Neurospora crassa OR74A: one gene and its partners. The protein of the gene in region 3 purifies or fractionates together with the protein of the main gene of each other region. This does not show direct contact. Links are inferred from orthologs where the notes say so. Each region holds a gene or a part of one and is shown on either strand. Other genes may lie near its edges.

What was found.
Region 1: the proteins of NCU02661 (region 3) and NCU06929 purify together in Saccharomyces cerevisiae (affinity purification with mass spectrometry; 8 studies listed by BioGRID, with this or other methods). This does not show direct contact. The link is inferred for Neurospora crassa OR74A from reciprocal best matches to the Saccharomyces cerevisiae genes RPB7 and SPT5.
Region 2: the proteins of NCU02661 (region 3) and NCU03838 purify together in Saccharomyces cerevisiae (affinity purification with mass spectrometry; 4 studies listed by BioGRID, with this or other methods). This does not show direct contact. The link is inferred for Neurospora crassa OR74A from reciprocal best matches to the Saccharomyces cerevisiae genes RPB7 and SPT4.
Region 4: the proteins of NCU02661 (region 3) and set-2 purify together in Saccharomyces cerevisiae (affinity purification with mass spectrometry; 3 studies listed by BioGRID, with this or other methods). This does not show direct contact. The link is inferred for Neurospora crassa OR74A from reciprocal best matches to the Saccharomyces cerevisiae genes RPB7 and SET2.

What each region holds. Positions count from the first base shown.
Region 1 is NC_026507.1:793,417-797,545, reverse strand, and holds the start of NCU06929 (transcription elongation factor spt-5), read right to left. Parts: upstream 2,801-4,129; 5' UTR 2,496-2,800; coding exon 2,130-2,495; intron 1,960-2,129; coding exon 1-1,959. Other genes in the region: NCU06928 (hypothetical protein), read right to left, coding at 3,280-4,129. UniProt on the Saccharomyces cerevisiae protein: The SPT4-SPT5 complex mediates both activation and inhibition of transcription elongation, and plays a role in pre-mRNA processing.
Region 2 is NC_026505.1:2,571,786-2,574,908, forward strand, and holds NCU03838 (transcription elongation factor spt-4), read left to right. Parts: upstream 1-1,430; 5' UTR 1,431-1,773; coding exon 1,774-1,854; intron 1,855-1,931; coding exon 1,932-2,182; intron 2,183-2,272; coding exon 2,273-2,303; 3' UTR 2,304-2,623; downstream 2,624-3,123. Other genes in the region: NCU03837 (Snf1 kinase complex beta-subunit Gal83), read right to left, coding at 1-775; NCU03839 (APF1), read right to left, coding at 2,796-3,123.
Region 3 is NC_026501.1:3,099,607-3,103,546, reverse strand, and holds NCU02661 (DNA-directed RNA polymerase II polypeptide), read right to left. Parts: upstream 2,646-3,940; 5' UTR 2,073-2,645; coding exon 1,824-2,072; intron 1,756-1,823; coding exon 1,675-1,755; intron 1,597-1,674; coding exon 1,427-1,596; intron 1,362-1,426; coding exon 1,346-1,361; 3' UTR 501-1,345; downstream 1-500. Other genes in the region: NCU02660 (DUF962 domain-containing protein), read left to right, coding at 3,536-3,568, 3,717-3,800, 3,872-3,940. UniProt on the Saccharomyces cerevisiae protein: DNA-dependent RNA polymerase catalyzes the transcription of DNA into RNA using the four ribonucleoside triphosphates as substrates. Component of RNA polymerase II which synthesizes mRNA precursors and many functional non-coding RNAs.
Region 4 is NC_026503.1:3,235,166-3,239,272, forward strand, and holds the start of set-2 (histone-lysine N-methyltransferase), read left to right. Parts: upstream 1-1,307; 5' UTR 1,308-2,033; coding exon 2,034-2,445; intron 2,446-2,558; coding exon 2,559-4,107. UniProt on the Saccharomyces cerevisiae protein: Histone methyltransferase that trimethylates histone H3 'Lys-36' forming H3K36me3. Involved in transcription elongation as well as in transcription repression.

The DNA.
Region 1 (4,129 bases), on a different chromosome or scaffold from region 3:
CTTGTAACCACCGCGTCTAATAACCACGGTTTGGTTAATGGCCCGATCAGGTCCGAAGGTTCGCGGAGCTGGCATTTGCTTGCCGCTAGCAGTGGGGTTCCGCTTCAGGGCTGGGTTCATCGCACTGAGATCTGGGCCCGCAGTAGCAGTGTTGCGACCACCCTTGGCCGCGACCGTGGTGACGCTGTTAGCCCGAGTGACGAAAACACCAGCATTCTCGTTGGTGGTCGTGGTGTGAAGGAAAATGTAAGAGCGATGAATGTGAATGATCTTGCCCTGGCGTTGCTGGCCACCATATTCACGGACCACGTCGTCCAGCCTGATTTCGGAGCCGTTGCGGTCAGCAGCCACAGCGAACTTCCTCTTGGGGAGCTTGTTGGTGATTTGCGACGGCTGGACCTGTTTGGTATCGCCGTTCTGGTCTAGCACCACGACTGACTCGCGATCAACCTTAACGATGCAGCCGACAGTCGTGGCATCCAACTGCACAAGATCCAAGAGGGAGTACTGTCCAAGAGAGCCTTGGCCACCAATATCAGATGCCTCACGGAGGTCTTTGCTGAACACGGTGATCTCCGTGTTGGTCTGGTCTGTGAGGAGGGTGACTCTGTCGTCCACGATCTTGACAACCATACCAACTTCGTCACGGAACCGGCTGCCACCAATGACCTTGACGTGGTCACCAATCCTGAACCTCTTGCGCAGACCCTTGTTGGGGACGTCGATGGTCCGGCCAGCAAGATCACCCTCGGTAACCTGCAATGTGACGATGTCGCCTTGAACATTGGTGGCCTTGCCGATGACACCCTGCTGCTCGCCCTCATACACCTCGATAATATCACCAGGGACGTACGCAACACTCTTAGCGCTATCCTTGAGAGTAGCAGCAAGAGCCTTAAGATCGAGGTTCTCTGTACCGTCCTCGGCTCCACTGGCGAACTTGGTAACCTCCTCCAACGTAGGGTTGACATTCTTGACCTCGAGCTGCTGGATCTTGATGTCTTTCACCTGGAAACCGTTCTCGAAATCATCGCCGTTGTAGTTCCAGCTGTTGGTCTGCGGGTTCCCCTGGAGGTAACGGGGGTGTCTCTTGCGCGCCTCGGCTTCACTGAACAGACGCTGGGGAGGACGAGGGCCGGGCACACCGGGGCGCTTGCGCTTGCCATCGGCCTGGAAGACGGGGTCATCCCTGACACCGTAGTCGAGTCTGGGAATGAAACGGACTCTGGCCTCGAGGCCGTTTTCTGTAACGTCGATAACCTGAGCAAGATCACCGGCGTGCTTGGCCGGCTTCTTGAGACGAACCCAAGCGCCGGGCTCCAGGTTAGGCGTCTTGATGACACGCAGGAGGTCGGGCATGTCCTTGATCTCGACGAGGTGCATGTTGCTCCTGGGATAAACGTTGAGAATGCCATCGAGAGCCACGAGAATATCGTTCTGTCTTTGAGCCTCAACGTAGATGTATCCCTTCATGACCGAGTTGATACCACCACGTTCGAAAGCAGCCGTGATGGGGACCTCGTTCTTGGTGCCCATTCGCTCTTCGATACGACGCATAATCGAGAAGATGACCTCACGCTCCTTTCCTTCTTTACACCTGACGGCCCAAATGCTGGGGTCCTCGACACTGGGAAGAAGCAAGCGACGGGGCACAATGGCCATGTCTCCGTAACCTCTAGCCGGGGCGCGCTTGCCGTAGCGCTCACGCAGGATCTCTGCCTGTTTCTCAGCGTCGAGGCTGGCCTCCATCTCTCGGCGGCGGTCGAGCTCGCGGTGTCTTCTGTCATCGTTAAGGCGGCCGCTGTCGGCAATATCGTCAGGGTGGGCATTGTCGATGAAGTCCTCTATCTCTTCACCGTCGCCGACTTCGTCTTCTCCCTCGTCTTCGTCGTCAACTTCGGCTTCGATATCGAAGAAGGCAGCTCTACGGTCCTTGTTGCGACGCTTGCGACGATTGCCCTGCGGACAAAAGACAGCGGGTTAGCTAGGTCCCCGATGTGGCGACACGGGTAGGTTTGGCGGGTCATCTGCACCGGGACTTGTCTTTTGTTGTTTTTTTCTGGCAAGTGTGGATGGGATGGTGCTGCAGAATTGAAGTGTGGAGGGACATTATTGGGATCCGGACTTACACCATGAACATCATCCTCGTCTTCCTCATCTTCCTCTTCCTCTTCGTCCTCCTCTTCCTCCTCATCTATCTCCTCGTTCTCCTCTTCATCTTGCTCTTCATCCTCGTCATCGTCGTGGTGATCTCGACGCGATCGCTTGGCCGGGCGCGCGTCTTCCTCTTCGTCATGTTCCTCCTCTTCCTCTTCTTCGTCTGGTACCGGGCTACTAGCCTGCCTCACGGTCTTACCAGCGGGGCGGTGGTTGTGCGTGGTCTCTTCGTCGTTGTCGTTGTTCTCCTCGTCCGACATGTCGGCGGGGGCGGGGTTGAAGTTGTCATCGTCGGACTCGTCGTCGGCGCCGGCGAACTGCCAGCTGTTTGACGCCATTCTGAATAATTTATCTGAAAGAGAGCGGCGAGCGACAGGGGTGTCGTACAGTCGTACTACCGGCGGTCGCGCGTTGTGTCGAGGTGTGGGCGAGAGATGGAAAAGGAGAGAGGAAGGGAGAGATGGCCGTAGGTCGCGAGATGTGGGATTATATTTGTAGGTGAGAAAAGGAAGATTGGCTGGCCTCGAGCCGATGGATGATGTGGTGGGAAATGGACCGACTTTTGAGGCGTCGACTCGCTGTGAGTGTTCAGTTGCAGACTTGCAGCAGCAGCACCGCGGGTCGTGAGGCGGAAAGAGAGCTGCACGGCCCACAACTGGACAGTGAGTGGGTGGACTTGGAAGCACGGACGGTCACACCTCCACCCCCGGTTGGTTGAGGACACTGGACGGCAGGGGAGTGTGCTGCTGCTGCTGCCAAGCACTGGAATAAGCCGCTAGGCTATTCGCGGCCAAGGTCAGGTCTCCGGCCGGCAAGAGGTTCCTTTTGTTCAGGTTACATTCGACCAGGACCTTGCAGTCCAGGACGGGTACCTAGGTAGGTAGAGATACCTCATCGTCTATTCATTTGCGCACGTGGCTGAAGTACAAGTACTTTCAGCTGATAGAGTATGTAGAAGAGAGCGCTGCACCGTGATAACCTCCCTTTCGTTTGCCCTTGTCAACACCATTACTAGGCAACCTTTCATACCTAGTAAACACGGCCAAGTAAAAGTCAACTCCTGGCAGAGACAGACAGACAAAACTATCTACATGATACAGCGCTCCTCCAGGAAAAAAACAATCACCTGACCACCTCCTTATCCTTCCGGGTGACCGTCTGAATGAAGCTCTGATACTGCTCATCTTCCGCGGTCTCCATCATGATTCTAGCATTCCGCCTCGGTGGAAGCTCCCTAATCTCCGGCTTGGGTATCTGCTTGTTTGCCGTCGTCCACAACACTCCCCCCGTCCTTGCCGCCTTTGGCGCTTTCAGTTCCGCCGCCGCCGCTTCCTCCGCTCTTGATGGAGCATCAATCATCACCACCTCCTTGTCCTTGTCTTTCTCCTTCGCGTGTTGTCCCTTTCCAGACCCGGCCGCGCCGGCCCCGTCCTGCGCCTTATCTCCTTCTCCTTCGCCGTTCTCTGCCGTCTCGGTGGGTCTGGGCAGCCTCATGGCCAGTAGAACGTATTCGCTTCGTTGCATGGTATCCATGATATCGTCCATGTACCTCTTGACCTCTTCCTCCGGCGCCACTACTCTTGCCAAATTATCCAGCACATGTTTGCCACTGGGAGCCGCCGTAAACAACCTTATAGTTATGGGCTGGTAGTAATCAAGCTCCGGGTCCGCCATCGGATATACTGCTTTGCTTCCCCTCCTGATGATAAGGAATGACGCCACCACCTGCTGTTGCTGCTGTTGTTGTTGTTGCTGTCCTTGGGTACTGCTAGCGCTGCTACTGGGAATAGTCTGATAATCCAGAATGCTGAACTTCGGAAAGAGGTACCGATCACCGTTTCCTCCCGCAAACTCGAATACGATGGCCGAATAATCAGGTTGTTTGGGCGGCGGCGGGGGGCCCTTTGAACGAAGCGCCTGTTGGGCCGATGACTTGTCGGCTTTCTCTCCTTTCTCCTTTGTGGCCTTTTCG
Region 2 (3,123 bases), on a different chromosome or scaffold from region 3:
CGTAAACCTTCTCGCCGCCACGGAGCCATTCGAGCCTGGTGGGGACAGTCGGTCTAGTCTTGTCCACCCGTAGCTCCTCCGTGTCTTCTTCGTCCAGAGTTGAGCTGTTACTCAAGTTGGAAGAGCGTCTGGTGAGCGCGGTGAAAGTGTCGGCATCCTCGAGTGGGACCCCAATGTCGGTCGGGGCAATGATAGGCGATCCGGGTGTGTGGACCTCTTCCTCGATCGGCAGAGGTAGTCGCGGCGGCCTGGTCAGGTACGAGACATCTTGCAGACTGCTCAGCTGCATAGCCGCAGTCTCAAAGGCATCCGATCTCTCTGATAGCGGTGATCGCACCGGCGACCTAGGTGAGCACGACGAGGCGTGGCAGGGTGTGGGCACGGCTACAGGTTTCGCGGGCTCATGACTGTCTTCGGGTCTCAGCTGTCTTACTTCGACAGGTTTGGTGGGGGTGGCAGAGCTGGTAGGCACCGACGAGCCCGGCGAGCCGCTCTGAGAAGGTGGCATTCGCGAGTGCAGCGACTTGGGACGAGCGGTGGTTGAGGGCGGCTGGACGGCGGTGCCCTGGGCCTGGGTCAAGGAGGGCTCAGGAGGGGCAGCGACTCGCTGATTTGGGACCGGTATAGGGTGCTTGGTATCGCGCTTCACTGCTCTGGCAGAGTCATTTTGGATGGAAGCCAGCGACTGGTGCTGAGACTGCGATTGAGAGGAGGAGGAGGAGGATTGCGGATTCGGGGTCTTGGAGTCTCTGGAGGTGGAGGGGTTGTTCCCCATTTTCCCTAGCTCGATCGCTGGCGCTGATGACGGGATGGGGTCGCCGTGGTGGTCGGGTCGGTCGAACGGGGTCGTCACAGGTGGTTCGCTGCTACCGCGGTCTGCTGCTGTTACTGCTACACCTGTTCAACAATGCGTCCACCGGGTGCAATCAATTCATCTTCCACTCTCCGGGGTAATTGGCCGAGTTCGGATAGAAGGTGGTTTGACAGTCGAGGGGCTTTGCATGCTACGCCAGCGCTGGTCGTGGCTGTGGTTGTGTGGTTTTTGGGAATTCGAACGACGTTGTCAGGTGTCGTGTCGTAATAGAGTTGGAGCAGGCAATATCGCAGCAAACTGGAAGATGTGATGATTCGAGTCGTGTCGAATCGAGGATGCGCGAAACAAGTGGAAGAAGTGGAAGTCGAGAGAATGACGGGTAGGTAGAGAGCTCAGTTCAGTTATCAGAGTATCACTGCAGCAGTTGACTGTCCTCCCTTGGGCCAAAAAGCACAGCTGCCATCCACCTGGTTGCTCGATAAGAAGCGGGCGACCACTGGCAACTGAATGGAACTCGGATGCAACGCCCCGGACTCGGCGAACAGAGTTGAACTGTGGATGAGTGTGAGACGGCGCCCAGCCCAACTGCACGGCAGTGTCTCCACTGTCCACCTCCAGGCATCGGCCCCAGCTTCCACTTCGGCCCCCACCTTTCCCACATTCTCTCCTGCTTCTCTAGCTCCTGGACCGTGCGCCCCTTGCATGTCAACTCCTGGCCCGCTGTGAGACCTGGAGCTTGCGCTGGCGCGACGCGGCAGGCAAGAGAGGCGGCCGATCTTCTTTCCAGAGAACAACTTATCGATGTTCACATGCATTCCTCTAAAGAACATCACCCTCCTTCGTCAAGTGTCCTTTTCCAGTTATTCATTCACTCGCTCAGCTATTCGTAGACGAGTGAGTTATCGGTTTCCGCCCCCAAAGTTACCAGTAACATCGCCATCCCTACACATCTCCCAAAAATGTCGGAGAACTACGTTGCCCCCGGCCAGCAGCGCTACCTTCGTGCCTGCATGGTCTGCTCTATCGTCATGACCTATGCTGTAAGTCGAGCTGCCCTTCCTCGTTTCTAGTCACTCTATGACCGACAAGTTTCTGACCTTTTTTGTTTTTGTCATAGCGCTTCCGTGACGAAGGATGCCCCAACTGCGAAGACTTCCTCCATCTCCAGGGCTCGCCGGATCAGATCGACAGCTGCACGTCGCAAGTCTTTGAAGGAATCATCACCATTGCCAACCCGCAGAAGTCGTGGGTGGCGAAGTGGCAGAGGCTGGACGGTTATGTGAAGGGTGTATACGCGACCAAGGTGTCGGGCCAGTTGCCGGATGACGTGCGCACCACGTTGGAGGATGACGGCATTCAGTATATCCCGTAAGTTTCCTGCTTACACTCGTGTGGTCTGGCGAAGCAGGCTATGATCGTGGGGTTTTCGGGGCACAGCCAGAAACTAACTTGGAGCAGGCGCGATGGCAGTGCGACGGAAGCGGACTAGAAACTCGAAGCTGCGGTGCAAGAAAACAAGACGGAATAGGGCGGATAAGAAAGCAGGAAAGAGAACCGACAAGCAAGAAGGAAGAGGGACCGATAATAGATCGTTCACAGACAACCCAGGAGCGGAATGCGGAATGCCTGTTAAAGGGAAGGCAACAGGAGTTCAAGGCGTTAAGGCTGGTTTAAAGGGCGTGGTCTAGACAGCAGGATAGTGGCCATTTTTTGGGTTTTGCATGATCAACCCAGGGCTATAATTACACACTGCAGCGAAATACAACAATCATACAAATGAGTTTATCACTACCTAACCTATATGGAAGATTATTCATCCAGCTACGGATCCCTTTTACGAAAACCCCAATGCAATATGGTATCTTTTTTTTAAACATTTCCCATCACGCCGAAAACGCCCCTATAACATGTACCGAAATATTGCCAAACCCGGAGATAGCATAACCTTTGACCAGTTACCCACGTGAGACTCCACAGTATGTTAAAACTGGAAGCGTGGCTTCTTGTTGGGAAAGTTCCCACCCTTCTCCTCGCGAGCCCTCTTGCGCTCCAACTCCTCCTTCATTATCCTCTCGGCCTCGCTCATCTTCTTGGGCGGAGCAGCCATAACCTTCTTGGGAGCCCCAGCAAACGCATTCTTGAAGACGTTCTTCGGTTGGGGCTTCATGCCGAACTTCATAGATACCGGCTTCGTGGCGGGAGCAGCGGCAGCAGCAGGACCAGCAGGACCAGCAGTCGAGTCAACCGCGGGTTTGCTTTCCTCTGCCGTCGTCTTGGCAGTGGCCTCTTCGCCCTTTGAACTTGCTTCC
Region 3 (3,940 bases):
TTTGGTGTTTGATGCCCACACCCCGATTCAACTTCTCGCCTCCGCTTTACTTCATTCTGGGGATTTCTTCACACCGATCTGGCCCCCACTGTTACCCCCTTCTGCTCTAGTTCGCCCGACGTATTTCGGCCATACTATTCTTCCACAAAGTCAAGAGATATCGTAGCCTCACGATGGACAGGTCACCGGCCAAACGTTTACTGCATAGTATCAACTCGACGACTTAGTGGATGAACCTCCCCCCTTGTCGTTTTATTCTTTTCCCCACGTCTTCACTGCTGCGTAACCCCCGCGCTTCGTTGAAGATTATGGAACCATTGAGATATGGTGCTTCAAGGTCCTTGTAAATGTTGCGGGAGGATCGTAGATGGGCACGCACCAAGTTGTCAGCTTGAAATGGGAGGTTTCCCCCCACGGCAACTGAGCCATCACAACATCCCACCTCGTTGGGTACCATCACATGGTATAATAGCCCGAGACTGAATGCTTCCTAGTCAAGACGTTCAGGAGATAGACCGGGGAGTCGAGTTTATGAGCCAAGCGAGTGCTGCGGTGTCTCTTATACTGTCTTTGCTCATGGTAACTGAGCACCTTAGCTGAACAAGGATTATTCCCTCTAAGTACAATCGCGCGAGATGCCCTCTGTGGTATCGCAGACAGTCGTTTTTTGTTGGTCAGTCTAAGCCAAGCACCCGAGAACCTTGAGGCATTGTACCCGCAAAACTCTGAAGACATCATCATGTGCCCATGTATTAAGAGCGACATGTCCTCCATGTCGCAGATACGTCGATAATGTCAGTTACCCAAATACCAGTAATCACGCTCAAACACAGAAAGCATGCTGCAAATACCTCAAAAAGAAAAAACCGTCAATAGACTCCAGGCGCCGCTTGTGGCCCCAATAATGCCTCAAAACGCCACAGACAAAGGTTTTACGCACCCCAAGCAAATCATGACAAAAATACCAACCCCGTTGAGTCTCATTCGGACGAGACATCTCCTTGAAAGCCCTTGAGCGTGTTACCGCCGCACTCCCGCGTGCAATACAACAAGGGGCTCGATCATATTGCCGCCCACGCGCTGCTAAGGGGCAAACATGATCCTTCATAAACCGCCACAGAGATCCTGAAACGGCCCTCGATACGGATGGCTTTCAGCATTGCCCAGAAGACTTGCTTCTTGACCGGGCCAGAGGCTTCATCAGCCGACCAGAACTGTTGATGTAAACCCAGGGTATACTCTAACTCGTGGCTTCACTAGGATTCTGTTGAGCGAGTACCTCGTAGTAGTTGAGCGAGTCCAAACCCTTCGTTTGGGAATGACCTTCTTGCATCTTGCAAGTCCCTTATGCTTGCAGACACCTGGAAAGGAAGAAACTGGTTAATAACAAACAGCACAACCACGCCGCTAAGACGTGGAAACTCACCCAAGGAAATCTCCGTTGATGCTGCCAATGGCATACATCTCACCCAATTCCGTTCTTAAGCCACCAATCTTGACGCGCACGTGCGTACCGGGCTCAATGACCATATCAGCGTTATTGGTAAACTGAGGAGGCGTCGCGTTGGGGTCGAAGTGGATTTCTTCGGGCATCAGCTATAGTTCTCTTGTCAGCGATCGAAGTTCGAGGGCATCGTATGTGCGTATCCAAAAAGACCGTAGGCGTCATCGTACGTGAGATGAAACGAAGATGGAGAGCGGGCCAGCTTGGCAGAAGAAGCCGTGAGGATTGATGGAAAAGACAATAGCATCCACCTGTAGGGACTCCTCGTTAGACCATCCGAACGGAGAGAACACCACCGAGAATCTTCGCTGTAACGAACCACTTCGCCTTTGAACGGCCTCCAAACCACAGCACGGTACTTCACAGTGAACTCGGCCAGGCCGTTTCCGGGGAGGATGCGGCCCTCGCTAACGTCGAACGCATCCATGATGGCAATGATGTAGTAATCACCGGCACACGTCCCTTCCACGTCCTTGACCAATTTGGTCGTGACAAGTTCGTGCATGTTCCTGCCGAAATAGGATGGATGCAGGGTAACCCGCCGCTCGAGGTTATGGAGGAAAAACATTGTGGCGGGTTAGTACTGTGGGATCGGGGTGTCGTCGGCTGAAAGTGGGCGTCGATAAGACGATGCCCTGGAGAGGTTATGCGCCTCGGGATGCCTTCGCGCGGCTGTCGTGTCGAGGGGTGCGACGGCGGCGGCAGTGCTGTCGAGACTTGGGCAATTGAAGTCGCGTGTCGGGACGAAAATGACAGTGAGGGCGAGATGCGAAAATCGACAGCAAGAATGTTGGTGTAGGGATCGTGTCGAAGGTGATACTTGGTTTTGTGGGGAGACGTCGTGACGGGAGAGCAAGGCTGACGGAATACACTAGATATCGACTATGATGGAACAAAAGCTTGGAGGTTCTGGAAGTGGTAGCCTCCAACACAGAGACCGCCGCAGACGCGGTTTCGGGACTTTGCCTTGCGAGCTTGGCCTGTCACTCGTCCCTTGACGTTTAGCACATGGCTCGTGCACAATCTGCAAGGAACAGCACTGACCACACGGAAGCGGTCTTGGCGCTGCCGGGATTCGGTGTTGTCCACAACTTCAACACCAAATATCCCAATTCCATCATATCATTCAACCAGACCAGGCATAAGATGCTCGTTGTAAGGCTTGTGAAATAATCTGCTGTACTATCATGTAGCGGGTTTTTCTTAAGGGAGTGTGTCTTCTACCAGCCCCCAGCGTTCCTTAGTCGTTCATGTAGCTGTAAGCTCGAGTAAAGGTACCATGGCTCATGCCGTTTCAACATGTGACAAAGACAGACTGTCGAATGATGTCTAAGAAGGAAGATTCGAATGGCCACAGCAAAGACAGTATGGTGGTTCGAGAAGCCAAAAGATGAGAACGCTCATAAACAAGACTTGAAACGGGTAACTCACGATTGATCACCTTTCTTACACCACAGCTGTTGGCCTTCCACTTTAGGTTGTGACGTTAACGTTCGTTGACCGAGAGGTAACCGCGTCGGTAGGAGCACCGACAGAGGCGGGGCACGTTCGGGTCCTGTCAGCATGCGTTTGATAGCGCTGTGGCCGTCGAGTTGGAGGGTTTGCGGGGGTGGGCCGGCCGGGAGCCTTAACAGGTTCCCTTGTTCCTGTTGATGGCGACTCCACAACCGAGGCATCCACACGTAGCTTTTAGCCCTCTGAGAATATGAAGATGGATATGCGGAGTGGAACACCAGACAGACTCCCACATCACCAGATCCCGCCGCTCTCTGGTCTTCATTAGCTGCACGCTCTGCTTTTCGAACACTACCAATTCCACCTGTTGCTCGTTTATACACATGTGGCAGTGATTCATTTCCTCTCTTCACTGGTCGCCCTCGACGCAACTCGACTTGTCATCTACTGTCGCTCTCCTGTCTCGGGTCTCACGGAACTGAGCGAGATCTCGCCATCCATTCACACCCTGAACCTCAAGGCTGTCTACAGCACCAACCTAATCATACCGGGCAAATCCGAAGCATCACTTTCACCATGTCCCTCAACCTAGAAAAGCAACTCACCTTTGTAAGCTTTGTTGCCTGAGTTTACCAAGCTCTAACCTACATGCTCCAAGTCGGCCTGCTCGGGCACCCTTGCTTGTTTCGTCCACTTCACCTCGCTCGAAATTCACGAACTGGAGCCTTTTGCTAACTTGTCCTCTCCCTGCTTGCAGTATGGTGCTTACCACTCTAATCACGTTAATGTAGTCATCCACATGATTTGTGTGCCTTTAATCCTCTTCTCAGCCTTTGAAATTGTATGAATTCTTGAACCACTTTCCCTCGTCCCTAGCGACATGTTCTCACACGCCTCATGCTTCCAAACTAGGCCTCCAATTATGGACCATTCTTCACACTCCCCTCCTGGCTTCAGGTACCGTACCTAGAGCCAAACCTG
Region 4 (4,107 bases), on a different chromosome or scaffold from region 3:
GCTACACCAAGGAACCATAGCAAAGTGCACGGCAGGGCAAGCGGACGGATTTGGCAACATTTCCAGCAATAGTACCATCAGGCTTTGCCGGGCCATCAGCTATATAGATACCAGCCTCATTCGGTTGCTGCTGGCTGGCTGTCCCATTACGTCGTGTTCGCTTTGCTGTCAATGTTGCGCCCTGTCTGCGCCCGGGTTGCATGTAGTGTTTATGCGTTTCGCCCTGTTCCATGTCTCCTTGTTTATTTATTCCTTTGTCTTTTTGGTCCGAGGCGACGTGCTACGTATGGGAGGTCCTTCCAGAAAGGAGGGAGAGCATGGTTCAACGACGTTGCACACAAAGACAAGCCCGGCGGGTCCCTGACATATGAGATCAGATACAGCATATATCGAAGCCAGAAACCGTCAGAGACACTACATCCGCCGCAGTACCTTTTCCTAAAGGCAATGTATAAAGCTTGAAAAGTAACCAGTGCTTTATCAAGAGCGCCACGCAATTGCAGCAGTTTCGCATTCCGATGGAAGAGGGGGCACGATATGTGGTTGTTGTTCCACAGATGGCGATGGCCGCACAGGTTGGGACGGAAACGCCAGTACAATGCAGACCCTTTGGGCTCATATAGGTTGTCGGACGTCATCGGTGTTGAGACGTGAAATGACATGGAGGGTTGGGTTTAGCATATCCGGAACCTAGATCCTAAGCTTCCCCATCCGGATATCCCCAGACTCCCGCTTTGCTCGAGGCATTCTCTCTCTCCATCACGAGTCCACAGTGGACGAGACACTTGACACCAAGGCCGCCCAATTCCGGACCGTTCGCAATCTTAATTGAATCTGAAGACAAGCCTTCACCCATGTCGAATGGCTGAAAAAATCGCTGCCCAAGGCCGATACTTCCAACGGCAATGTCCATTGATGTGATGAAGTGATGAACTTTTTGCTGGTCGAATGGGAATTCCATGCCATTGCGCCGCCAATTGATGGTGGGGTCAGCATAGCCTTGCCAGCTGCCGAATGCCAATTGGTTTTCAGCTGCCGGGCCGTCGTGGGCTGCCGAGGCTGCCAAAAGCGAAACGCAGAAGTCTGTAGTCTGCGGCAGGCAAGACCAATGAGCACCGGCACAGTGCCGGACAGACCAGCCAAGGTGGACAAGCTCACGGTGGCACGGCCTCAGCTGGATTGCCTGCCACAAGCCGACTCCAGTGGACTGGACTTTTGAATGGCGATCTCTTTGACCATGCGCCGATACCAATTGGCAGTAGCGCCAGACGCCGCGAACGAACAATTCCCATTGCTACGCTCGTCCCCAGACTCTCAGAATTCTGACTGCAACTGGCACAACGCCGAGAAACAGCGACTCCCTCTCTGGTTCGGACCTGCGCGTCGTCTGCCCCAAACAGCTCCCTCTTGCGTCCACCGTCGTCGCCGACCCATCGATTCTCTCTTTGCCCCGGGCCATTATCCAACAGTCAACAACTGAATAATTGCTTCAGCCCATCTGAAGCGTGGCAGTTCGTCGCCTCCAACCCTCTCAGCATCCGAGTCGCCAGCCAGCGGTCCAGTCGCAGTTGAGCATGCTGTCGCAAAGATCAAGGAGCCAAGACAAGAACACCGCAACGGCAACGGAAGAATAACGGCACCAGCGACCGGCATCCTTTTCCTTCCCTTCCTCTCCAACGAAAGCACCACGAAGCACCACACGCTTTGCTTTAGCCGACTACACAGGTACTCGGCCACATCAACTTGCATCATTCTGCCGCTGAGACGAGACGTCACCTTCTTTTCAGCCCGTCGCTCGCTCCACTCTCACCTTCTCATGACCTTTGCGCCTAATCCTACCGACTCCGCCGACCGTCTCCTTTTCCCTAGGTTGCCTCCTCGATCTGCACCTTCTTAGTTTTTTCCTCGACTGCGACCTTCGTACAGCAAACGTGCGCCAAGTGCCCTCGACACACAGACACACAACCGAACCATTACTCACAGTCCCTTATTCGGGTGCGCGCAGGGCGACCCCAGCTGCTGCTGCATCCACCATGGAGGACGGCCATCACTCACCGGATTCGACCAAGGAATCAAAGTCGGAGGAACACTCCAAGATGAACGGCTCCAAGCTAAAACGGGATGGCGCCAGCAACGCCGGCAATGCGGCCACGCCAAACGGCTCCCAGACCGGAATCTCGAGACCCCCAAGCATGTCGCCCGACGAGCACAAGGCTGCGAGTGAGAGCACAGCAACTCCCAGCGAAAATGTCCCGACACAAAAGCCTTCGCGAAAGGCGTCTCAGAAGAACATGAAGAGGGAACCGGTGCTCTTCAACCATCTCCCCGACGTGAGGGAAGAGGCATGCACACATTTCCAGGTCATTCATGACTGTCTCTATGGCTCAAAGAACATGGGTGCATCCGAGCACGATGCGTTGGATTGTGACTGTGCGGAAGAATGGCGTAAGTGAAAATATCTTCGGCGTCCCCTTGCCGCTAGCGTCATGTCCCCTCCGGCCCGCCCGCCCGCCGACACCCCCCCTTAACCGAATACTGACACCTGGCTCATCGTATAGGCGGTGATATGAACCATGCGTGCGGGGAAGATTCAGACTGTATTAATCGGGCCACGAAAATGGAGTGCGTTGACGGCGATTGCAACTGTGGTAGCGGATGCCAGAACCAGCGCTTTCAGCGAAAACAGTACGCCGACGTATCGGTCATCAAGACGGAAAAGAAGGGGTTCGGCCTCCGGGCAAACACGGATTTGCAAGTTAACGACTTCATTTTCGAGTACATTGGCGAGGTCATCAACGAGCCGACATTTCGCAGCCGCATGGTCAAATACGACAAGGAGGGCATCAAGCACTTCTATTTCATGTCACTAACCAAATCCGAGTTTGTTGATGCCACTAAGAAGGGCAACCTCGGCAGGTTCTGCAACCATTCGTGCGATCCTAATTGCTACGTCGACAAGTGGGTGGTTGGTGACAAGCTGCGCATGGGCATTTTTGCGGGGCGCGCAATCAAGGCTGGTGAGGAACTGGTGTTCAACTACAACGTGGACCGCTATGGCGCCGACCCGCAGCCTTGCTACTGCGGTGAACCAAACTGCACCGGTTTCATTGGCGGCAAAACGCAAACAGAGCGTGCAACCAAACTGCCGCCTGCCACCATCGAGGCGCTTGGTATCGAAGATGGAGACAGCTGGGACACGGCGGTGGCGGCCACCGTCAAGAAGCCCCGCAAGAAGAAGGCTACCGAGGACGATGAAGAGTACATCAACCGCTTCGAGCCTCGTGGCCTCGATGAAGAGGGTGTCACCAAGGTCATGGCCACGCTCATGCAGTGCAAGGAGAAATGGATTGCCGTCAAGCTGCTCGGCCGCCTTCAGAATGCCGACGATGACCATGTCCGGAACCGGGTTGTTAAGATGCACGGATACCAGATTTTGAAGACAACCCTCAACACCTTTAAGGAAGACACCAATGTCGTACTGCAGATTCTCGATATCCTGTACCAACTCCCCCGCATCACCAAGAACAAGATTACCGATTCCAACATCGAAGCCGCCGTCGAGCCCCTCACCCATTCCGACCATGAGGATGTCGCGTCGCAGTCCAAACGATTGCTTCAGGAATGGAGCAAATTGGAGACAGCCTATCGCATCCCGCGCAAGAAGCTCGACCCCTCCGCTCCCGTAACCACAAATTCGTTTGAGGATGACCGCCGCAACGTCAATCATGAGGAGCATCCCTCAAGACCTGTCAATCCGTTCGAGAACATGGTTGTGCCCACGGGTCCCCGCAGCAACATTCCCCAACGGAACATGAACTACTTCAACAACCAGAGACCACGCAAGCTTCCAACGAATCTTCCTGCAGGATGGTTTGTCACCACTGACAGCACAGGCAAATACTACTTTTACGACAAGAGCGGCCATACCCAGTGGCAGCGACCTACAACGCCTGCTGTCGACGTGCCCAAGCCCTCTGCCAAGGTGGAACAAAACCAAAAGGCTCTGCAGGATATCATCGACAGTTTGACCAAGGAGCCGACGCCCCGCCATTCTGCGAACCAAACCCCTAAATCTAACACACCCGTGCCAGACAATGGTAAGAAGGA